Linked DNA regions of Oryzias latipes. The main gene of each other region encodes a partner of the protein of the gene in region 2 in a complex. Links are inferred from orthologs where the notes say so. Each region holds a gene or a part of one and is shown on either strand. Other genes may lie near its edges.

Region 1 (4,034 bases), on a different chromosome or scaffold from region 2:
AAGTTCTTATTAAAGTCCCACTTTGATCATCTTTTGATCTATTATCAAAGTTTTCTCTGTGGCCTTTTCATTATGAATAGACAGTTTTTAGCCCAAACCAGAAACCTGCATCATTTTCTAGTACATAGTTTCTGCAGAGCTTTAGTAGTTCATTAGAAAATCTCCTCTGAGTTGTAGGCGGGACCATTGGCACAGAGCAACCCCACCCCTCTTCCCTTCCAGGTTGTGGAGCAGGGAGCTTGATCCTCTTCCAACATACGTCACAAAAAAGCTCTTAAACTGTCAGCTCATGATTTCCATCCATCCATCCATCTTCCTCCGCTTATCTGGGACCAGGTCGCGGGGGCAACAGTCTAAGCAAAGATGCCCAGACTCCCCTCGTTCCGCCCCAATGCAGCCCAACTTGATAAAGCCAACAGGACATCATCTGCAAAGAGCAGAGAGGTAAACCAGACCCCCTCTCGCCCCTGGCTGCCCCTGGAAATTCTCTCCATTCATTTCTGGGCGGCAGTTTAGTTCAGGCGGTAGAGCAGGTCGTCCAACAACCGAAGGATTGGGGGAATCGATCCTCGCTCTCCCCAGCCAGCTGTCGAGCCTGCAGCTCACCGCTCCCCCCAGAGGATGGGTCAAAATGCGGAGAAGAATTTCCCCATTATAGGATAAATAAAGTATCAATTAAATTTCAATAAAAAACTATGAAAAGACCCAGTGACTGATTCACCTGGAGCATCTTTATTTTTGAATGCATTCCCTTGTGTTGTCCTAAAAGACACTTTTTGACAGAGTCCAACATGCACCGGAAACAAGTCTGACTTACTGCCGGTTTTGTGAACCAAGCTCTTTCTCCGGTCATATAGAGACCGGACAGCCCTCATGATTTCCATAGATTTAAATAAAAAATACTCAGAAATGCAATGATAAAATTAATTTTCTTTATATATTTCCTCCATCAACAGAACATTTCCAGAAGAACATGTTAAAAACACCAAAACCACATTTTTAAATAGAGTGGGTCCTTAAGGAAAACCACATATTCAGACAGAAAAAAAGAGGTCATGTTACTGGGAGGATTTGCTTTAAAATGACCACTTTCACCTCCTAAAGAAATGTCATTTTGTATGAATGCAGACACCTAAACTTCAGCACAACAAATACGGTGCGTTACCTCTTTATCCTCACAGAGTTTGGAAAGCAGATACACCAAAGGGTCGAGATTTCGAACATTTTTAGACTTGAGCTCCTCGTATTTCTTCAAGAAATCCTCTGGTGTTTTAGAAAACTCCGCTAATTTGACCTAAGAGACAAAAGAAGTAATATCAGACATTGCAAATTATAAACAGTAAAACCACTACGACTCCTACTGTCTACACCTTTCTGTCTTTAGCAGTTGGCTACTCTTCCTTTGTAGCCACCTTTTTAATTTTATCTTTTAACATCCTTCAAATGGAAAAAATGTGTTTTAACTAATAAATCTTAAACTTTTAATAAGGATGTCTTGATTCACTTTCTCCATTACTCGGTTCAAAGTTTTTTGGGTTCGCCATATGATTTATACATTACAAAACAACAATACTAAAATCCATTTATGATTCAGAAAAATCCTTTTTTAAATTTGTTATTAAGCAAGTAACAACGAAGGAAAATCTTTCAATTGGGTTACACTAGTCTGGTGTTATGTAATAAAAATTAATATAATATAAATTTGTCACAAATTTAACACTTTGACTGTACTGGTATGTAGTAAGGCTGCACAATTCTTTCCCCCCAACAATTTGGTTCAGTGATGGAACATATGGTTTGTTTTTAGACTGACAGTTTGGGCATCCCTAATCCAAATATCTGAAATACTGGGCTGTCTGGCATTTGGTTTAAAAAATACTTCTTGAACAGTTTTAGAGTAAATAATCATTCTGTCAATAACATTTTTTTGTTTGTTTCCCAGCAAGTGCAGGTTTGTCTATATAAACATATTTTGAGGTTGTCATTTTTTCCCTTTTAATTATAATAATCATAAATAATATGATCTATATGCCCCCCCCCCCCTTTCTGGCCATCCAAGGTCGCCTCAAAAGATGAAAAACAAATCACAAAACAGCATTCATTAGGGCTTTTTTAATGTCATAAAACGAAAACCATGATAAGATTTGCATGACTATAGACTAGCCTGTAAATAAATACAGCATAAATGACCCACCTTGGCACTGTGAGCAGACACTGTGGTGGTGACGTACGGTGTCCTGTGCTTCTGTAGAAGATCTATGTAACCTTCTGCCCCATCACCTCCACGCAGGTGCAGCAGGCTGAGCAGCTCGTTCACGTCGTGGTGGATCCGGAACTCACTCATGGCTCAGTCAGTCAGTTGTCAGGAAGGCTGGGTTACAAAAACAGAGGAGAGCATCTTAGCTTCAGCGAACACAGCATCTCAGCAGGCATCAGCTCGTTCACACCGACAAACAATCGCCTATAGATTGGCTACGGAGATACAATTACTTTATATATATAATACTTAAAGTCTCTCTGTACTCTGATGCTGAGCCAAATGTTACTAGTAAACAGGCTAACTAGCCTGCAAACTGCAAATGCTAAATAGTATGCTAGCTAATCCAAACGCAAGTGCAAAATTTGCCAATATTTGAATTTCGGTCATTTCTGAATAAACCTTATCACGGGTAAAATACAACATTTCAACTATTTCTGTACCTGCAGGAGTCGTGAAAATGAGCTCACCAACGTTCAGTGAATCATGTACCAAAGGCGCCCAATGCTGCTCAAATTCCTCTTCTTCGTTTGTTGACACTTTACAAGGACATGACGTGAGTCTGCCCCCTACAGGCTAGGTATTCAAACGTATAGATAGATAGATAGATAGATAGATAGATAGATAGATAGATAGATAGATAGATAGATAGATAGATAGATAGATAGATAGATAGATAGATAGATAGATAGATAGATAGATAGATAGATAGATAGATAGATAGATAGATAGATAGATAGATAGATAGATAGATAGATAGATAGATAGATAGATAGATAGATAGATAGATAGATAGATAGATAGATGTGTGTGTGTATATCTATGTCTAAATCTATCTATATATAGATATATATCTGTATCTATATATAGATATATATCTATATCTATCAATCTATATATATATGGTAGATCTGAGGCTCAGATCTACCACACCAGACAAGACCCAAGGTGTAGCCTGTGCAAACAGCCTATACCTGAAACAATCCAGCACATAACTGCAGGGTGTAAGATGCTGGCAGGTAAAGCATACATGGAGCGCCACAATCAAGTGGCTGGAATAATATACAGGAACATGTGTGCAGAATATGAACTGGTAACCCCAAGGTCAAAATGGGAAACACCTCCGAAGGTGGTAGAGAATGAGAGGGCAAAGATCCTGTGGGACTTCCAGATCCAGACTGATAGTGGTGGATAAAGAACAGAGGAAACCTGTTGTGGTGGATGTGGCAGTACCAAGCGATGGGAACATCAGGAAGAAGGAACATGAGAAACTGGAGAAATACCAGGGACTCAGAGAAGAACTAGAGAAAGCATGGAAAGTGAAGGTGACAGTGGTGCCTGTGGTAATTGGAGCACTCGGGGCAGTAACCCCCAAGCTGGAGGAGTGGCTACAGATACCTGGAAACATCTCAGACCTGTCAGTCCAGAAAGGGCAGTGCTAGCAGAGAAACCACCCACGGAGGGTGAGAGGGTCGTTTTTTATTTTATTTTTTTGGCTGAGGGGGTTAAAAAACCATTGAAAATTATTTTTCTTAATTTCATTGAGAAAAAGAAACATCTTTATTTGTTTAAATGAGTCTAGAACGACAAAAATATATTTATTTCATTTATTTATTAGTTTATTTAACAGGGACAGTGCACATTAAAAGCATGGCTCCAATGCGCCAGAATTAGCCCAAAGGCTATTTTTCATCTGTAGTATTTGCAGAAATACAATTGTAAAATGAAGATGAGTAAATAACCGGGAGGTAGTTACTTTATGGTGTGTGACAAAACT
Region 2 (4,016 bases):
GCTTCTTTCAGTCGAGGTCTCTCCGTAAACTCTGTGTTTGAGGGGCATCCAGACAGGAGGAGCAGCAGAGACAGAATGCCATAATGTGCATCTGTCTAAGAGGGGAAACTACCGTCAAAATAAAAGTCCTGAAGACTTCAAGTTGTCAGTTCTTCTAACCTTTTTTGTCAAAAATATTTCAACTTTAGCAACAAAAGGCAGAGAGGATGACAAAACCTGCTGCCACATAAATCCAGTGAGCTTGTTTACGTGCACATCAAAGATCCCATCAATATCCGATTTCTTCCACTTTACCCCATATGTTATGTTGTTTCACATCTGTTCATGAGTTTACGCAAGTGCTAAAGACAGAAGAGGCTGCGTAACCAGGGCAACCGCAGCTCCTTTATACAAGTGTTTCTTTTGTTAGTTCCCATAAAAGCAAAGCAAACGCTGCAGCTCTGTGACGCTGACAGGAACAGATGCCAGAGGATTTTAAAGGTAGCAGGTTTATTATGAACATACGTAGTTCACCTAAATATACCAGATAATTGACTCCCAGGTAGACCAACATCTTCTGATGGTTGCATTTGTTTTTTGATTGATTACTGCATTTTTTTTGGACACGTAAACAAGCTCAGACCCGGACCTTTCTATCCTCTGGCCTCGTTTTATTTCCGTAGGCTCTTTCCTACCTTTGTTCCTTCTGTATTTGGCAGAGGAGAGTTCAGGAACTCTGCTGTCAGTCTCCTCCAGCTTCCTGCTTTACTCACATCAGAGTGAACCATCAGCTTTTCATAGATTCTGAAAAACCAGATTCTCCGTGTGAAATGTGCACGTTTACTCATGAAAGAGATGCTGTTTTTATGAACAGAACATGCAGCAACATCCACATATCCAATATCATTTCAAGAATAGAATTGGTGCCAAATGACATCCAGAAATTATTTATAGCTGTAGAAAATGTCCAAAGGAATAATGACATTTAAATTACTCGTTTTGTGCGTCTGTGTGTGAAACTGAAATGTGGAAAAGTCAAAGGTTTGAACAAAAACAATGCAAAAGTATTTCACATATCGTAAAAATACATACATCTATTTAGAGTTATACCATTATGTGTTGATGAAGATGATGTTTATGATTGTTCACTATAATCATAATTGCTTTATTATTATTATTATTGGAGGTTTCAACACGCTTAGCTTTTCTTTCCCAAACATGTTGTACATTGTTGTTGTTAATATTATTATCTTTAAGTTTTTAGCCTAATGCAAAGATATGGGGATGCTGGAGCCTATCCATGCAAATTCCCAGACACGCTCACACCTAGAGGACAGTTAAGAGTCGTCAATCAACAAATCGATGATGTGTTTAGACTGAAGGAGGAATCGCAGGAACCAGGAACTTGTTCCTGCGAGGTGACAGTTGTGCGGCTCCCATGAAGAACTCAAGTATATCAATGAACCCAGAGTTGCTTCAAAGACAGACTAAGACCACAAAGCAGCGCTGCAAAGCCTGAGAATATGCGTGAGGAGGTGTTACTTCCCATGCTAACATCTCAAATCTCAGGTGCTGTAAATGAAAAGACGGGAATTTTCCTGGATAAATATGAAACTGGACCAAAGAATAACATATTTAAAAAATGATTATGTAACTGGTGTGATGGATCAGGGTCCGCATTTAAAACGAGACGTTGGTTTTTGCTGTTTTCTTTTCAGGTCACTTGGAAATTTAAGGCACTTTTAGGGCAACAAACAGATTCAGAGAAACGATAAAGTTTGCAGATCAGTGAGTTTTGTTTCATGTTCACAAGAGGAACATTCCTCAATTGAAAATGAATTTACGTCATAAGAGACCATCGTTTTTCCTAATTTGCAACAATGAGATACGATTACCCTGCATGAAAATCTGTGGTGCGTTAAACAGTCTGTCATCCTGGAGCAAACACTCATTTCTGCACATCACAGTATTGTGTTGCATGGATTGTGCTGTTGCTGACTGTTGGCGTGTAAAAAAAAAAACCCCAAACATAACAGCTTTAAACCCGCTGGCCCTCATTTAAACATATTTACCGAAAAACACGCAGCTTTTGCATAATATTTGACCTCCATAACGCAAGAATGCAGTTACGGTGAGAGCTTTCCATGGGTTTGTGATGATGGCAAAACCAAAACACCTTACTATTTTTTTCTAAAACACAAAACCAGACACAAAAGACAACATTATTCACTCACCCGTTTATGCTGCGTTCAACTTTATGACTGTCAACGTCCAGAAAACTATGGAACCTTTAAAAAAAGGATGTTTTTGGTCATCAGCTTCTGATATTGTTTGCTAATATTATAGTTAGCAATGAGCTAGCTCCACCTAAACCATCAATGGTGGACTCACTTAAAATTTGACCACGTAAATTTCAGCGCACGCTGGAAATTCTGGTCCTCCTCATCCTCGATGCCGCTGATGAGCCCGATCAGCCTTTTCGTTTCTTTCTCTGTTTCTTTCTCGAAGATGCTCCAGTGCGCCATGATGATGATGTTAGCATCAGACGTTACGCTGCAGGCAGCGGGCTGTCCGGCAGGCTAGCAGCTGGACGGACCGCTTAAGACGAAACGGTGACCGATGACTACATTAAATGTTTCATATTGTAACAGGGTAGTTTAACAGGCTAAGACGTCCCGCGTAATTGTTGCCGCTGGACATGAATCGCGTGTAGTGCGCATGCGCAGGATTACCACTAATCAATATTATTTTTTTCTTTAACATATTTTCATCTCTGTGTTTTGATCCCGAACTATTATTTAAAAATGTTAACTTCTTTTTTTCTCCTTTACAAAATAAATAAATAATAATAATAATTGTTCACCTTGGTCACCATGGTTACGAGTAAAAACTTCCGGTTCAGACAATCAAGTAAACAGCATTTCTTTTTTACCGTATGGCATTGACACAAACAAACAGAAAATATAATTTTTTAACTACACATTTAAGTTTTATCATTTAAAATTAAATTCACTGATGATGCAATATCCTTGTTTTCCTTGACACGCATGTGTGTGTGTGCGTGTGTGTGTGATCAAATTCTTCAGTGACTTTAATAGCACGCACTTAACGTGTTATTTTTTAGTTTCTATTAATACATTATAATTTATCTAAAAAAGAGCTTTTACTTTGTCATTTGTTACAAAACATTTTTATATTGCACGGACGGAAAATTTGGCCTAAAACTTGTTTTTTCTCTGTTCGATGTGCTGAAAACCAGTTCAAATGCTCTGAGACACGCAATCAAATCTGGCAACCTCACTAAGCCCCGCCTCCAGTTTACGTAGCTAAAGAAATTCTTCGACAAAAAAAATAAATAAATTTGAAGATATTTTTCCGTACAAAAAAACTCAAAGCTTGTGTCATTAAGAACACACCCGTTTTACAATGTATACGTAAAAAACATGAAAAGATTCGCAAAACTTCTGGTTGAGGGGGCGTGGCTAGTTTTCCACACATTTACTAACAGACACACACTAACAGTCTCGCCTCGCATAACTTCACAGGAGCGAGTCTTCCTCGCCGGAGTCCCTTCCCAAAGACAGGATTCCAGTCGTGATTAGGGCAAAAGGAAATGAAGAGGAGGTTAAATAAGAAATTCTTGATTGTGATCGTCGCATATTCGGGTTTACTTCTGCTAATCGCGTACGTGTTAGATTATCGGGATAAATCCGGCGAGCACGCCAAGCTTCCGCAGCAACAGCCCAGATGCTCAGATTTGGAGAACACGGTGGCGCTTCTGTGGGATAACAATGGCTACAAAGTCAACGGCAGCGACGCGGCGGCGGAGGCCAGATTCAACAGGAGTCAGCCGCGGATCCACATCTACCTGCACGCCACCTGGAGGACCGGCTCGTCGTTCTTGGGGGAGTTGTTCAACCAGCACCCCGACGTGTTCTACCTGTACGAGCCGATGTGGCACATATGGCAGGCGCTGTACCCCGGGGACGCGGGCAGCCTCCAGGGCGCGGTGCGGGACATGCTGAGCTCTCTGTACC
Region 3 (4,076 bases), about 630 kb from region 2:
GATGAGGATCAAAATCCACAGGGACGAATACATCGATCAAAAAGTGTTTTGTTTCTTACCAGAGCCAAAATTTTTCACCACTTCTCTGGCAAGATGGACTCCAGACATCAGCAGCTCCTTGGCCCGTTCAGCGCTCATGCCCAGGTGGGTTACAAAACCCTGGACGCTCGCCTGGTACGTGGCCGTGGTGATGACATCAGCCCCACTCAGGAGGAACCTGTTGCCAAAGAGAAACTCTCGTTTTAGTCATCAGCACCAGTACATAGAGAAAAATGACACAAAATTTGACTAAACTGACGTGACTATTGAAAACCTGCGCATCAACTGACCTGTGATGAGCATCTTTTATGGCCTTGGGATTCGTGTGCAAAAGTCTGGCACTCCACAGAGGATCTCCCTTTGTACACACACACACATAAATAACATAAAATTACCTTTAAATCTGCACGTAAGGAACTAACAGGTAAATACTGGTATTGACTACCATATTTGTCATGGTTAGAAAATCCCTTTCACTGTGAAACCGTTTTTTTTCCCCTCCATTCACACCATCTTCCAGTTCATCTTTCCGGGCGTTACTTAAGTACTACTTGAGTAGTAACGCATAACAAATGATGCTCCTGAGTGAAGCAGAAACCAACTTCACAGGACACAATGGCTCTATCTAGTGGTTTACTGAGTTTGTTACAAGTTGTATGCGCACGAGACCGGACCACAGTCTTTATGTGCGCTTTAATGCATTTATTGCCCAAAAACGTTCAAAGCAACCATTGGATAATATCATAACATATTTACTTTACCTGTAGTTGTGCCCCGTGTGCTTCCAGTTCAGTTGCTAAACCTCCATCCAGGATCAAAGGCCTGTTTCGGTTAATGAAGAGTCTCAACCGAGCAGATGAACCCATGGAGCAACTCTGGATTTGCGATTAATTGCAACTTAATCCAAAAGTGGGACCCTAATCTAACGACGTTGGACTAATTTGGCTAACATGTACCACATCCGTCAATGTTGTTGTTCCGGGTGCAAAAGTCAACAGTTGCGTTTAAAGACATCCGTACATTTGACCTTCTAAGGTTGTCAAAACACAAGTCAATGTTGTCAAACTGATACTTCTTTTTTCAATAAAAAATGTGTGAACAATAAAAGGTCTTCAAAAAAATATATTAAAACTACTTAACAATATTTCTTTTGAGATGTGAGCGCGCAACAGTGTTTTTTGTTTTGTTTTTTTGTTCAGAATTGTCAGAGGTGCTCAACGACGGTTTTTCATGAACGCACCTTGGCTGGTTGCTATAGATACGAATCGGAGCCCGGGATAACTGCCGTCCATTAAACAGAGCTACGACATTTAGCTTTTGTTTACTTGTTAAAATGGTAAGCGTTTATCGCCCCTCTTTATTTAAAAACGTTCCAAAACGCTTTAATGATATAAAACGTATAATTAATTTTGAACAAATTGAAGATGTTGTTGTTTGCTAAACTCCGCTTAGCAACTTTTAGCAGATCTAGGAAAGCAAGGTGCTAACTCTTCTGTGGAACTAAGTGTGTCTTGTAATTATTTCTCCTGAAATATAAATAAGTTTAATAGCACGGAACATGTTTTAATTGAATATAGATTTTAGCAAAGCGTGTCAGGTCAATCCAGGGTTTAGCAGTCGACGAATAAACACTAGTATGTGCTTTTGATTTCAAATTAAAAAGCTGTTTTTATGGAAATGTTTTCTGATTGGTCAGTTTGCATCGACATATGTTGGCTGATACAAATAATAGTAGAAATACCCCCCCTTTTTATGGTCACTTTCTGTCTTGGTGATGCTAATAATGCAGAATCCCACCAATACTGGTATGTTTAACATTCAAATCTGGCACTGGGGTCCCTGCTGTGCAATGCTAAAGGCTTAATTGTATCTCACATGGTTGAACATACATCAGAAGTTTAGTCAAACGTTTTACTGGATTCACGCCACTGCATTTTATTTCTTGCTGTTTAGAATTTGACTGACTTCTTGTCTCTTCAGGAGGATCGCTATGCTTTTCTAGCTGAATGGTTTGACCCCATCGCAGCTCTGATGAGACGCTTCCAGCTGTTCTATTACCCCAACGATGGCTCCATGGAAATGGTAAAAAAAACAATAATTATTATAATTCCACTTATTTCTGATTACTGATTTCTTTTCTGTAGCTTTTGAACACATTGAATAGTTTAAAGGTTGTGATTGCAGTCTTTGCCTCCTTCTCAAATGTATAAATCATTGAACAATCTACAAGTCTGAGTGTGTGTGTGTGTTTTTTTTTATCACTCTACAGTTCGATGTGAAAAACCAGCGGGTATTTTTAAAAAGGATCAAGTATGATGACATCCATCCACGGGATTTGTTTGTTGGGAACCGAGTGAATGTTTTCTCCCGGCAGCTAAATCTGATAGATTATGGAGATCAGTACACAAGAAACAAGCTGGGCAGCAAAAAAGAAAGGTACGATTGGTTAAGCTGCACGTAAGTCTCTTTTATCCCCTCTAGTTACTGCACATACCATTCAGATTTATGTGCAAGCTCTTGAAAAGAATGACTGGAAGAGAAGCTTTTTTCCAGACGCCTCAAAAATGTAAAGCGGTCAGTGGAAATCAGAAAACATTACTGTTTACGTAAATAGTTTTACAAACTTCATGTTTTAATAAAACACATCAAAGTTGAAGGCACCATAAAGCATCATAAATGAAAAAAAAGATAAAGATTGATTAATGTACTTTGAGTTTTTTTTTTTTTAACAAAAAATAAAATAGTGACATAAACATGATAAACAGAAAGTAATAAAGTGCTTGAAAAACGAGTTGGTAGAAGTAAAATCTTTTGAATTCCCACCCCCAATCTTACTTTATTTTATGCAGACATTTTTGCTGATAAAAGATGTAATCATTATTCACATAAGATTTTAAAAAAAATAGAAAAAGTGACCAAAATTGACTGCATCATATCAAGTCATTAGGTTTTTAAGATTTCATGCGGCTCACCCTCTTTTATGTGGAAGGTGTGTTCGAGTCACGTTCAATGAAAATTGTGTTTTTGGTGTTTGCAACTTTTTCTTTTGATATTTTTCTGATCATGGAGTCCATATAGAAAGAAAATTAGGCTGAAAATTGCTCTTCTGAGTATTTCTTTAATCAAATCGTTGTGAATCAGGAACAGAAGAAAAAATGCGGCTGGAAAAAGATCAGATTTGTGGCGTAGAAAATACTCCGGGCGGCCTTTGTGAATAGGATTGTTAAGAAAAAAGTTATATTAATATGAATGAAAATTTATTAAAATATTATTTTCATTAAAAGGCCTATATCATGCAAAATCAACTTTTTAGAGCTTTTACGTGTATTATAATGTGAATTCCTCACAAAAACAAACCCAAAGTGGTATTCTGATTAATTCACGGTTCTCTGGGTATTCCTCTAAAAACCTGCACTATGAGCACCAGCCCCTCCCAATCCACTTTGTGACGTCACAAAGTGAGGAAGAGTCTGCGCTGCCAGCACTGACCCCAGGCAAACACACACTCGCTTTCTCCGTGGAGCTAGCGGTGATCGGCTTAACGCTTTCCTTTTAATTTGCCCAAAATGCACATCCATCTTTGCAAAAGTTCGGATGTCGTTTTTTTCTTTGTGTGCGTGAAACACAGACACGCCGCCGAGGCCGACTCTAGAATGACATCATGAAATGGACGGCACCTTCAAGGAGGGAAAGGCGGAGCCTCAGAGATCAAGTCGTCTTACTTCCGGGCAGAAAAAAATTGCTGTGATAATAACAAATATTTCCTAAAAAGGATTCAAGGATTCAAGAAGTTTTTATTGCCATATTCTGTGTAGCTACACAGAGTAGGAATTTGTTTCGGTGCAAATGTGCAACATAAAACAGAAGAACAGTAAGCAACAACATTTTTACAAATGGACAGAACAAAAATATAAATAGAGTCAGTAGTGCAAGGGGTGTCAAAACAGTGCAAACTGAGAATGTTCAAGGTGCAGGTAGTGGGCTGGTGACTGATTGGACATTGAAGTGAAATTTAGGGGGGGGGGGGGGGGGTTACA
Region 4 (4,059 bases), on a different chromosome or scaffold from region 2:
TATTTAGATCTGCACAATAAATCACAGAGCTATCGCCATCTTGTTATCAGCCTGTGCAGTATGCGTATCGCAGAAGACAGTGCAATAAATCATACCATAAATGTTTACACACATGCCTAAACAATCTTATGGCAGCTTGAAGTGTTTCAAATTCAAAATAGCCTGTTAAGCTTTTGACTAATTGGATGGAGCCCTTTTATGTTAGATGCTTCCCTCCTATCAGGTAAAAGATCATTTGGAGTATAAATCAAGTTATACTGACTTTTATTTTGATAAAACTGTTGCAGTGAAATGAAAAAGATGTATTAGTTGTTTCATGTTTTACTTTGGGTTCATGTATCGTAAGTCACATCGTCATCGCAATATTGATCACCAATATCGCGAGTTTTCCTGATATCGTGCAGCCTTAGTTTAATTACAGTTTGTAATTTGCCAAATATTTAAGACTGGAATGCAATCAAAGATTTGCCACTGTTAACAAAATAAGGGATTCAGGACACACCTTGTCTGGCTGAGGTAAAAAGACTGTCGCTGGATTTCTTCTGGGTCTATGTGCACTGGGAGAAGGCTGGCCATTTCATCAATAGACCAGTTAAATCTTGGAGGGGTCTACAGAAAAGACAAGATATGAGACAAAACTACACAGCAGCCTTAAGACACATTTCTCGAAGTAAAAATTGCAAAACACACTTGCAAAAACCGGTTTCAGCTTGACTGTGTAAATAATATTCAATTTTAGTATAAGTTGTGGGTAAGAAATTAAACTTACAGCTTTACAGGACTTGGATTTAAAAACAGATGGGCTTGGAACCAAGGGTTCCCGGAGATGGTGGTAATCATTTGGACTCTCAAAGGGGTTTCTTATGGAAGGCCTGCCCGGAGTCTCTGGAGTTATCTCTAGCTCGATACGGTCCCCCATCCTGGCTGAAAATTCAAATTCAAGTTATAAAGAAAATGTATTACAAAGTACACTTAAAAACATTTTAAGTGTAAACCAACATGTATTTTTTTTACTCGATCCGTTAGCTAGCTGTGATGTTAGCTTGCAAGGAAAACAACAGTTTTAAAATCAGTTCAAAAACAACATAACACCCATAATTTAATCCTTACCGACACTGACTATGTAATTGTTTTCCGCCCCTGGTACTTACATGTTTTATCTGACTTGGACTGTAAAGCGACTAAATCAAGAGAAAGTCTTCCCCTGTCGACTCCACAGTGGTATTAGGAAGAGAACAATTCAAACGTTTATTTCAATTTCGTCCACGGAGCCAGCCAACCAATAGAATCGTTACAGAAAGTTGTTGAGGACCAATAGCGACATCTGTGTCGTCATTTCCGCTGCTAGTTTGCGGACGGTGCATCAACTTTGATGCAAGCTAAATGCTAATGCGGCATTTTATCGTATGTCAGAATCCGAGTAAAGCAAATATGAGATATTTTAAACGCGGCCGTGTTGTTTAATTGAATTGTTTTCATCAACGTTTTATCAGGGTAACATATAAGCTGTTGTGTATCTGCTAGCAAGTTCTAGCTAGCTAACTAGCGTCATCGTAATGGCAAGTGCAGCTAATGCTAACCTGAACGCAGTCCGGGAGACTATGGACGGTAAATATTTTAACTTGTGTGCACATATTAGCATATTTAATAAGAATTTCAAGATTATCATTAAATCATTCTATTAATTTTAAACTTTTCGCTTTTCCTGAACAGTTCTGCTAGAGATTTCAAGACTGCTAAACACTGGTTTGGATATGGAGTCCTTGTCCATTTGTGTGAGGCTGTGTGAGCAAGGCATCAACCCTGAAGCTCTGTCTGCTGTCATCAAGGAGCTCCGAAAAGCTTCAGAGTCTCTGAAGGTAGAAGAGAAACTACCACATCTCATTACAGACCAAAACTTATGTCCGTGTTTTTTTCTTCTTTTAGTGTTATCGCGAGTTCTATAACCATTTGGAAACCATTTGTTAAGCTTGAGTGTCATTGTTTTTTTATTTTTACATTAAAGTCTGTAATGATAAACATCATATCAGTGTAAATAGTAGTGATGGGTTGATGATGCTTTAATGAGTTTGACACATCTCCCAAACTGTTGACTCTGACATAGTGTTGCTCCCTCTCTAGTGACCCCTGCAGTAATTCTGAAATCATTGCAGGTAAATAAAATAAGAACGGCATTTTTGGTGTTTTTAACATGTTCTTGTAGCACTTTTTTATGATTGATTACATATAATAGAAAATTAACATTAAAACAGCATTTTTGATTATTTCTTAATTAAGAAACCGGAGAAGTCAAATAATGCAGTTTGAAAAACTTGCAGTTGTGACATAGAAACAACAGCCATTAGGCCAAACTCCCTGCTCTGCTCTAGTCTGATGCCTCCACTGGCAGATGAATAAATTTATGTACATTTTTGTTTTCCTCGTCTGAGCTGGAATCTGGATCAAAGCTGTTCAGGTGGATGGCTCAAATATTGTTCACTATATTTGTTGCACCGCTAGTGTGAGCTTGGGGTTGTCAGGGACTCAGTTAGCGGGAGAGTGTAAACAAGGTGTCGCTCGTCCCATCATTAGAAAATAGAGCTGTGGTATTAAAGTATTTCAGTATTTTGACTTTTATTTAACACAAGTTGTTTGATTGATGCCCACATACTAGTGAATCCTTAAACTTGATTTTTTTTTCTCTTTAGAATATTTTCTACTATTTAAATTTATTAAATATTTTATCATCCTTGCCACATCAACCCAACGATACTCTAAGCTTTAAAGTGTAAACTCAAATATTTTAATTTATAATATCTTGCTTTTTTTATGTAAAAATGGCTAAACCTGCAACTAAATCTATGAATGAGAAAAGCCGAGGACTGAAAAACATTTGGCGCATACAGATGAATTAATTCTGTTACTAAACGTCCTGAAAACAGATCCTTATGGTTTGTAAATAGAAATATAGACATGAGTTTATTTTTTAAAGAAAATGTAATTAATTAAATTTTCTCTGAGCTTCAGAAAAGCTCAAATATACTTAACATAAGTCCAGCATTCAATTTGCACTTTTACAGAACTGGCTTTGTCTGGTTTTGCAAAGTGCTTTACAGCTTCTTTCCCATTCACATACACACTTGCTGCAAAACCCAATGATCCACATGCCGAAATGAAAGCTGTTAGACTTTTCATCTGGAGTACCTCGTGCGTAAACGTCAAGCCCAACAAGACACCGACATCTAGAGGGACTGGGATCAAACTGTTTTCTGTGTGATTAATAGACTGCCTTGTGTCCCACCTGAGCCACAGCCACACCATTTCAAACAATAAATCATGATGGTTTATTACTTTTTATTTTCAGGTTTCTGAGAATTGCACAACCTGAAGATGGAATCGGAGCCCATCTGTGCAGGACTTTAATAAGATCATCCCCTGTTCCTGGATCTTTACCAGCTTTCCCGCCTCAATCCCAATCATTTTGACAGTGACTCAAATGTTTTCTACTTTTTTCATTTGTTTGTTGTTGTTTAAAAGAAAATGACTTACATTTGTTGTTTTTCAAACACACAAGACACAGATCTGAGCAGCACTGTCAAGTTTAAGCCTTCTTTTGTTTTGTTTTTTCTCTAAGCAGCATGGATGTTGGGTTTGACTGTCAGAATGTTTTATATCAGAAACATGTTGGACATTATATGTTAAAATCTTTATTGATTTTTTTTTTCAATGTATATTATTGCACTATCATTTTTTTTCTTGGTCATTTATTGGCACAAATCTATTTCTGAAGGTCCTGTAAGTTTTCAATGGAATTGTGGGAAATAAAATGTTACCATCAGTGACCACAAGGGGGAGTTCTAGTCTTTGTTCTCAGTATTTATTTAATTGTTGGGATTTTAAAACAAATACCACTTTATATTATTTCTGATTAAAAAAAACTGTAATATACATTTAAAAAAATAATATTTGGCTTTAGTTTCTTTTTTGTACGTGTCATGGTCTAATTTTGGGTCAGCAGTATAACATAATAACCTTATTTGGTTGGATTTTACAACGGAAACAATCTTTCCTGTCAGACCA
Region 5 (4,097 bases), on a different chromosome or scaffold from region 2:
TTTTTTTTTTATTATAGAAAAAATAATAATGAATTTAAATTAAGTTTTTCACAATAAATCTACATTAAATACATGGCAAGCAAAAAGGAACATTTATAATATAATATAAAATAATATAATACTGGACACTCCACAATAAATTCAGATTATTTGGATAGAAACAAATTATTTTATTTATTTAATAAATGTGCAAACTGTATTTTTTTTCCCTTAAGTGTTGAAACTGTCCAAACATTTAAACAGCAAATGTAATTTCGGCTAAAATAAACCAGCTTTTCCATGAAGGACATTTTGGTGCACCGCCATCCTTAAATCTGATTTGTCGGAAGGAACTCTGTTGCTGCTAATGTGACTTCAAATGAATATTGGGGTGATGGTGGAAATTTTCTACATTAATTGTATGTAATAGATAGTTTCTTACAACAAATAATCAAATAATAAATAAAGAAAATATTTGCTAATTAATTCGTGTTTTCTGTTTTTTTTTTTAACTTTATTTGCATTTTTTATGATGTTTTTAATGTAAAAATAAGACAGTTGTGAGAAATTTTCAAATCCCTAATAACGGAAACGATGAACCGGTAGGAACAAACAAAAAAGGCCCTTGTTTCAATAGGGAAGTATTTTTTTCCATGGCGTGTCCGACACCGGGGACGCATTTCGGCGGGTAAATTGAACTGTCTCAATAAAGTTCTTTGTAATCAAAGCGGATGTTTCCTGTTAACTACTACACAATAAAACGCATCAAGACCTTTTCGAGACAAATTTTGTCATAAGATTGTTTTGGCACATTTAAAGTAACCATTTATTGGAATTTTCGCAGTCTTTTGCGATATGCATATAGCACAGCTTGATCTCGATAAACTTGCGATATATTGTGCAGGCCTATTGTCTACATTTTTTTGAGGTCTTCCACCACGTACTAGCCGTAAAATCTATTTTCTTTCTCTTTTTTTTGCACACATTGAAGGATAGCCTTACTGCAACCAAGAAAACATTTCATTTAAAAAATTGTGCAAAATAGTTATTTTCTACACAATAAAATACAATCATTTGTAGTTTTAATTATTTTTAACTATAATTTTAAATGCATGATTAAATGCAAATGCACCAAACACTCTACTGTTCATACTTTACCTATTATAAATATGCCTTTTAGAATTCAAGTATATAGTATATTAGTGAGGTTAATAACTGTCTTATTTGGAATCTTTTCTTTTATTTACTATTTTCTGTGCAATTCTGATAACTATGCTGAAGGCTCTTATTTTGAAGGGGGCAGGAAAAGGGTCACTTCAGATTCCGTCCTCCCCGCTACTTTGACTCGTAGTCGCTAAATGGCGTTGCTCATTGTGGGAGGCTGCGGTTAATAACTATTCCTTCCCTGCATTTGCGAATTGATCCCGTCTGTGGTGAAAACGATGGCGACGTTGGACCAGAAATCCCCCAACGTCCTCCTGCAGAGCCTGTGCTGCAGAATCACGGGGAAAAGCGAAGGTACGGGAGCCAGAGCTAGCATAGCCGCGACACCGCTACTTTGGCGAAGCTGCTTTGAAAACGACACTCTTTCAGGTTGAGGGTCAGATTGGCGGTTTAACTTGCTTCTTATTCATTTTAATGACTTTAAAATAACAGTTAGTGGGAACGGATTTATTCGGCACATGAAGTTGAAGCTTGACATTTATAAGTGACTAAATACAATCGTAAAGTCTCCCGCCGGCTAAACCCAGAGCGTTGCCGACGGAATTTGATCATCGTAAACCGGGTTTTCTGGCAATACATGTCAACAATTATTTGGTGATCCGCGTGGAATTTTTTGCTGAACTTTACTGCCAGCATTTGAAGGGGATCAAGCGAATCGTCTTAAAGGAATCCGTGGTTCGCAGGGAGCTCGGCCCGGGTTAGCCTGAATGTCAGGCTGCGGTCTTGATGCTGCAGCATCCCGCCTGACAGCTGCTGCGTTAAACCGCTATGCCGGGCTCGGGACCGCCGTTAGCTGGGCAGCGTTTCGGCAGCCCGTGCGGAACCACTGACTCCCGGCTGCAGGCCCCAGAAACGAGGCAAAAAAAATGTTAGGGCGAGGTTGTGAGGGGCTGCAAGCCAACGGGAGAGCGTGTAAACAGATGGATGATGGGAAGGGCGGCGGGGCTTACTTACTACTACGTGTCAACAGCCACAACACGGAGGCGAGTTTCAAATGAGCCTCTGCTGCTCTGCAACAACTGTGTCCTGGAAAACAACATGTTTTTAAACAGTTTTAAGGTCATAATCCTAACAAAATAAATAAAGAAAAAAACCAGGAAGGCTTTGAAAATAGATCAAAATATGACCAGAGTGAGACTTTAACAACTGAATTAAAAGCAGCATTGTCCAGTAATTCACAGTTACCGTTTTTAGTGACATAATTTGGTGAAAAAAATCAGAATTTCTTCCTTTTGTGTCCTAAAATGAAAACCATTGTTTTTGTTTGTTTGTTTGTTTTTTAAAGCATAAACTCTTTTGCTGATTTAATAAATATCTGTTTTTTGTGCAGCTGAAGTCGCCCACCAGTTTCAGTATGCCGTCCGAGTCATCGGCAACAACTACGCTCCCACTTTTGAGCGAGACGAGTTCCTGGTGTCGGAGAAGATCAAGAAGGAACGTGAGTGACCTTTGACCTCAGGAGGCTTTTTTTTTTTTTCTTCCTCTGCTGCATCTTTTCTGAATTTGGTCCCTTTAGCATCTGGCCTGTGCGGATAAACGTCAGACTCAGCAACGTTGAAAACCTTTATTGCCTCTCGGCAGCAAATATCTATTGACTTGCTTTGCAGTAGCGCTAGCGGGAAAACATTGATCTGAGCCTCGTCGCTCATCATCAAACTGAAATAGCACTTTCCAGGTTGCGGGGGCTGGACGTCTCCTGTGACTAATGGGATTTAAATAAGACTTCCAACCGAGGTTAACGTGCACCCCCCCTCTCTGTTACTGCAGACGACAGAATCCATCCAGGTATACTTTATTGATCCCAAACGGAATTATGATGGAGTTTGTTCCAGGAAGTCCAACAGAAAAGCCTCTTTAGTTGTGTTTGTCTGCAGCTCCAGGTGCCGGTCGGGATGCATTCAAACCTGGTTTTAGTTCGGGAAAAAATTAATTTCGTCCTTCGTCTTGCTTTCAACATTGTATATGTTTACACTTAGTAATATGCTTCTGTAAGAAAAAAATCTTATTGTAAAGTTTAATACTTGTCTTTAGTGTTTTTTCTAACGAACATATTTATTAAGAACATTTATTTAATTGAATTTTTATTTTATTTACAAAGTTGTATGTTTTTCTCATTTAAAAGTACCAATTTTTGTTGAATTAACACATTTATTTCATTTTATCAGTGCATGCTTTATAATATAGTTAACTTTTGACTGTAAGAGTTTGTCGGATTTGTTTTTATTTTACAAAAAAAACCAGAATTTAATTAAAAAGCTACGTTTCAGTTTTAATTTGTACTTCTATAAACTGAAACAAGCGTAAGGGTTTTTGATAGATGTGGACATGAAACCATCAGACGTTTGAGGCTGTGAAAGGAGCGTTGGATGGCGTCTAACTGTTGGTGTCGATGCTCCTGCAGTGGTGAAGCAGAGGAGGGAGGCGGACGCTGCTCTCTTCTCAGAGCTGCACCGAAAACTCCAGACTCAGGTGAGCGTTTTTCTACCCGCCAACAAGAATAAACCTCCAAAAACGACCCTGCTGGCTTCTGACGACACTATTTCAGCTGAGTTTGTAATACTAGATGAATAAATGAGGAAAAAACAAAATACGTGAAGACGAAAGGTTAAAAGTCCACATTTATTTGATTGTTGTCCATTTTTCTGTTTGTTTCTTGCCGTACTTTAATTTTAAAGCTATTGATGTTAGTAATTAATAAGCTATGATTTTTTTTTTTATTAAATTTGGTCAAAATTGAATCTTCTTTCATTTGATTGAAGGATGCTGGGCTTTTATTTTGACGGTTTTCCACCTTTCAGGGTGTTCTGAAGCACCGCTGGGCGGTTCTTTACCTGCTGCTGATTCTCTCTGAAGACCCCCGCAAACCATCCTCCAGGGTGAGCGCGCCCCCCCCC

Evidence for each region.
Region 1: tubgcp5 (region 2) and tubgcp2 share a complex: the UniProt entries of both Homo sapiens proteins name them as parts of the gamma-tubulin ring complex. The link is inferred for Oryzias latipes from reciprocal best matches to the Homo sapiens genes TUBGCP5 and TUBGCP2.
Region 3: tubgcp5 (region 2) and nme7 share a complex: the UniProt entries of both Homo sapiens proteins name them as parts of the gamma-tubulin ring complex. The link is inferred for Oryzias latipes from reciprocal best matches to the Homo sapiens genes TUBGCP5 and NME7.
Region 4: the proteins of tubgcp5 (region 2) and mzt1 are in contact, whole or in part, in a crystal structure (PDB 6L81), measured with the Homo sapiens proteins. The link is inferred for Oryzias latipes from reciprocal best matches to the Homo sapiens genes TUBGCP5 and MZT1. Residues at the interface, in NP_443135.3 of Homo sapiens: Gln14, Gln15, Asp18, Val19, Glu21, Leu22, Val23, Val26, Ala27, Gly28, Asn36, Ala40, Phe43, Ala44, Asn47, Phe48, Arg52, Phe53, Leu54, Phe72, Lys80, Ser83, Trp84, Leu87, Thr88, Glu90, Phe91, Ala106, Ser109, Ile110; in NP_001065243.1 of Homo sapiens: Glu23, Val27, Leu28, Glu30, Ile31, Ser32, Ile34, Leu35, Asn36, Thr37, Leu39, Leu44, Ile46, Cys47, Val48, Arg49, Leu50, Cys51, Glu52, Gln53, Ile55, Asn56, Pro57, Glu58, Ala59, Leu60, Ser61, Ser62, Val63, Ile64.
Region 5: tubgcp5 (region 2) and tubgcp3 share a complex: the UniProt entries of both Homo sapiens proteins name them as parts of the gamma-tubulin ring complex. The link is inferred for Oryzias latipes from reciprocal best matches to the Homo sapiens genes TUBGCP5 and TUBGCP3.

What each region holds. Positions count from the first base shown.
Region 1 is NC_019877.2:19,478,051-19,482,084, reverse strand, and holds the start of tubgcp2 (gamma-tubulin complex component 2), read right to left. Parts: upstream 2,805-4,034; 5' UTR 2,701-2,804; intron 2,372-2,700; 5' UTR 2,345-2,371; coding exon 2,195-2,344; intron 1,295-2,194; coding exon 1,166-1,294; intron 1-1,165. UniProt on the Homo sapiens protein: Component of the gamma-tubulin ring complex (gTuRC) which mediates microtubule nucleation.
Region 2 is NC_019862.2:28,172,172-28,176,187, forward strand, and holds the start of tubgcp5 (gamma-tubulin complex component 5), read right to left. Parts: upstream 2,811-4,016; 5' UTR 2,505-2,810; coding exon 2,371-2,504; intron 2,268-2,370; coding exon 2,214-2,267; intron 784-2,213; coding exon 675-783; intron 96-674; coding exon 1-95. Other genes in the region: chst7 (carbohydrate sulfotransferase 7), read left to right, coding at 3,593-4,016. UniProt on the Homo sapiens protein: Component of the gamma-tubulin ring complex (gTuRC) which mediates microtubule nucleation.
Region 3 is NC_019862.2:27,541,837-27,545,912, reverse strand, and holds the start of nme7 (nucleoside diphosphate kinase 7), read left to right. Parts: upstream 1-1,272; 5' UTR 1,273-1,372; coding exon 1,373-1,375; intron 1,376-2,019; coding exon 2,020-2,121; intron 2,122-2,308; coding exon 2,309-2,475; intron 2,476-4,076. Other genes in the region: uncharacterized protein LOC101164391, read right to left, coding at 60-217, 330-397, 801-905. UniProt on the Homo sapiens protein: Possesses an intrinsic kinase activity. Displays 3'-5' exonuclease activity with a preference for single-stranded DNA. Does not seem to have nucleoside diphosphate kinase activity.
Region 4 is NC_019873.2:18,606,391-18,610,449, reverse strand, and holds mzt1 (mitotic-spindle organizing protein 1), read left to right. Parts: upstream 1-1,255; 5' UTR 1,256-1,556; coding exon 1,557-1,608; intron 1,609-1,713; coding exon 1,714-1,859; intron 1,860-3,343; coding exon 3,344-3,367; 3' UTR 3,368-3,827; downstream 3,828-4,059. Other genes in the region: bora (protein aurora borealis), read right to left, coding at 503-609, 770-919. UniProt on the Homo sapiens protein: Required for the recruitment and the assembly of the gamma-tubulin ring complex (gTuRC) at the centrosome.
Region 5 is NC_019860.2:22,843,998-22,848,094, reverse strand, and holds the start of tubgcp3 (gamma-tubulin complex component 3), read left to right. Parts: upstream 1-1,293; 5' UTR 1,294-1,421; coding exon 1,422-1,497; intron 1,498-2,533; coding exon 2,534-2,641; intron 2,642-3,604; coding exon 3,605-3,672; intron 3,673-4,001; coding exon 4,002-4,079; intron 4,080-4,097. UniProt on the Homo sapiens protein: Component of the gamma-tubulin ring complex (gTuRC) which mediates microtubule nucleation.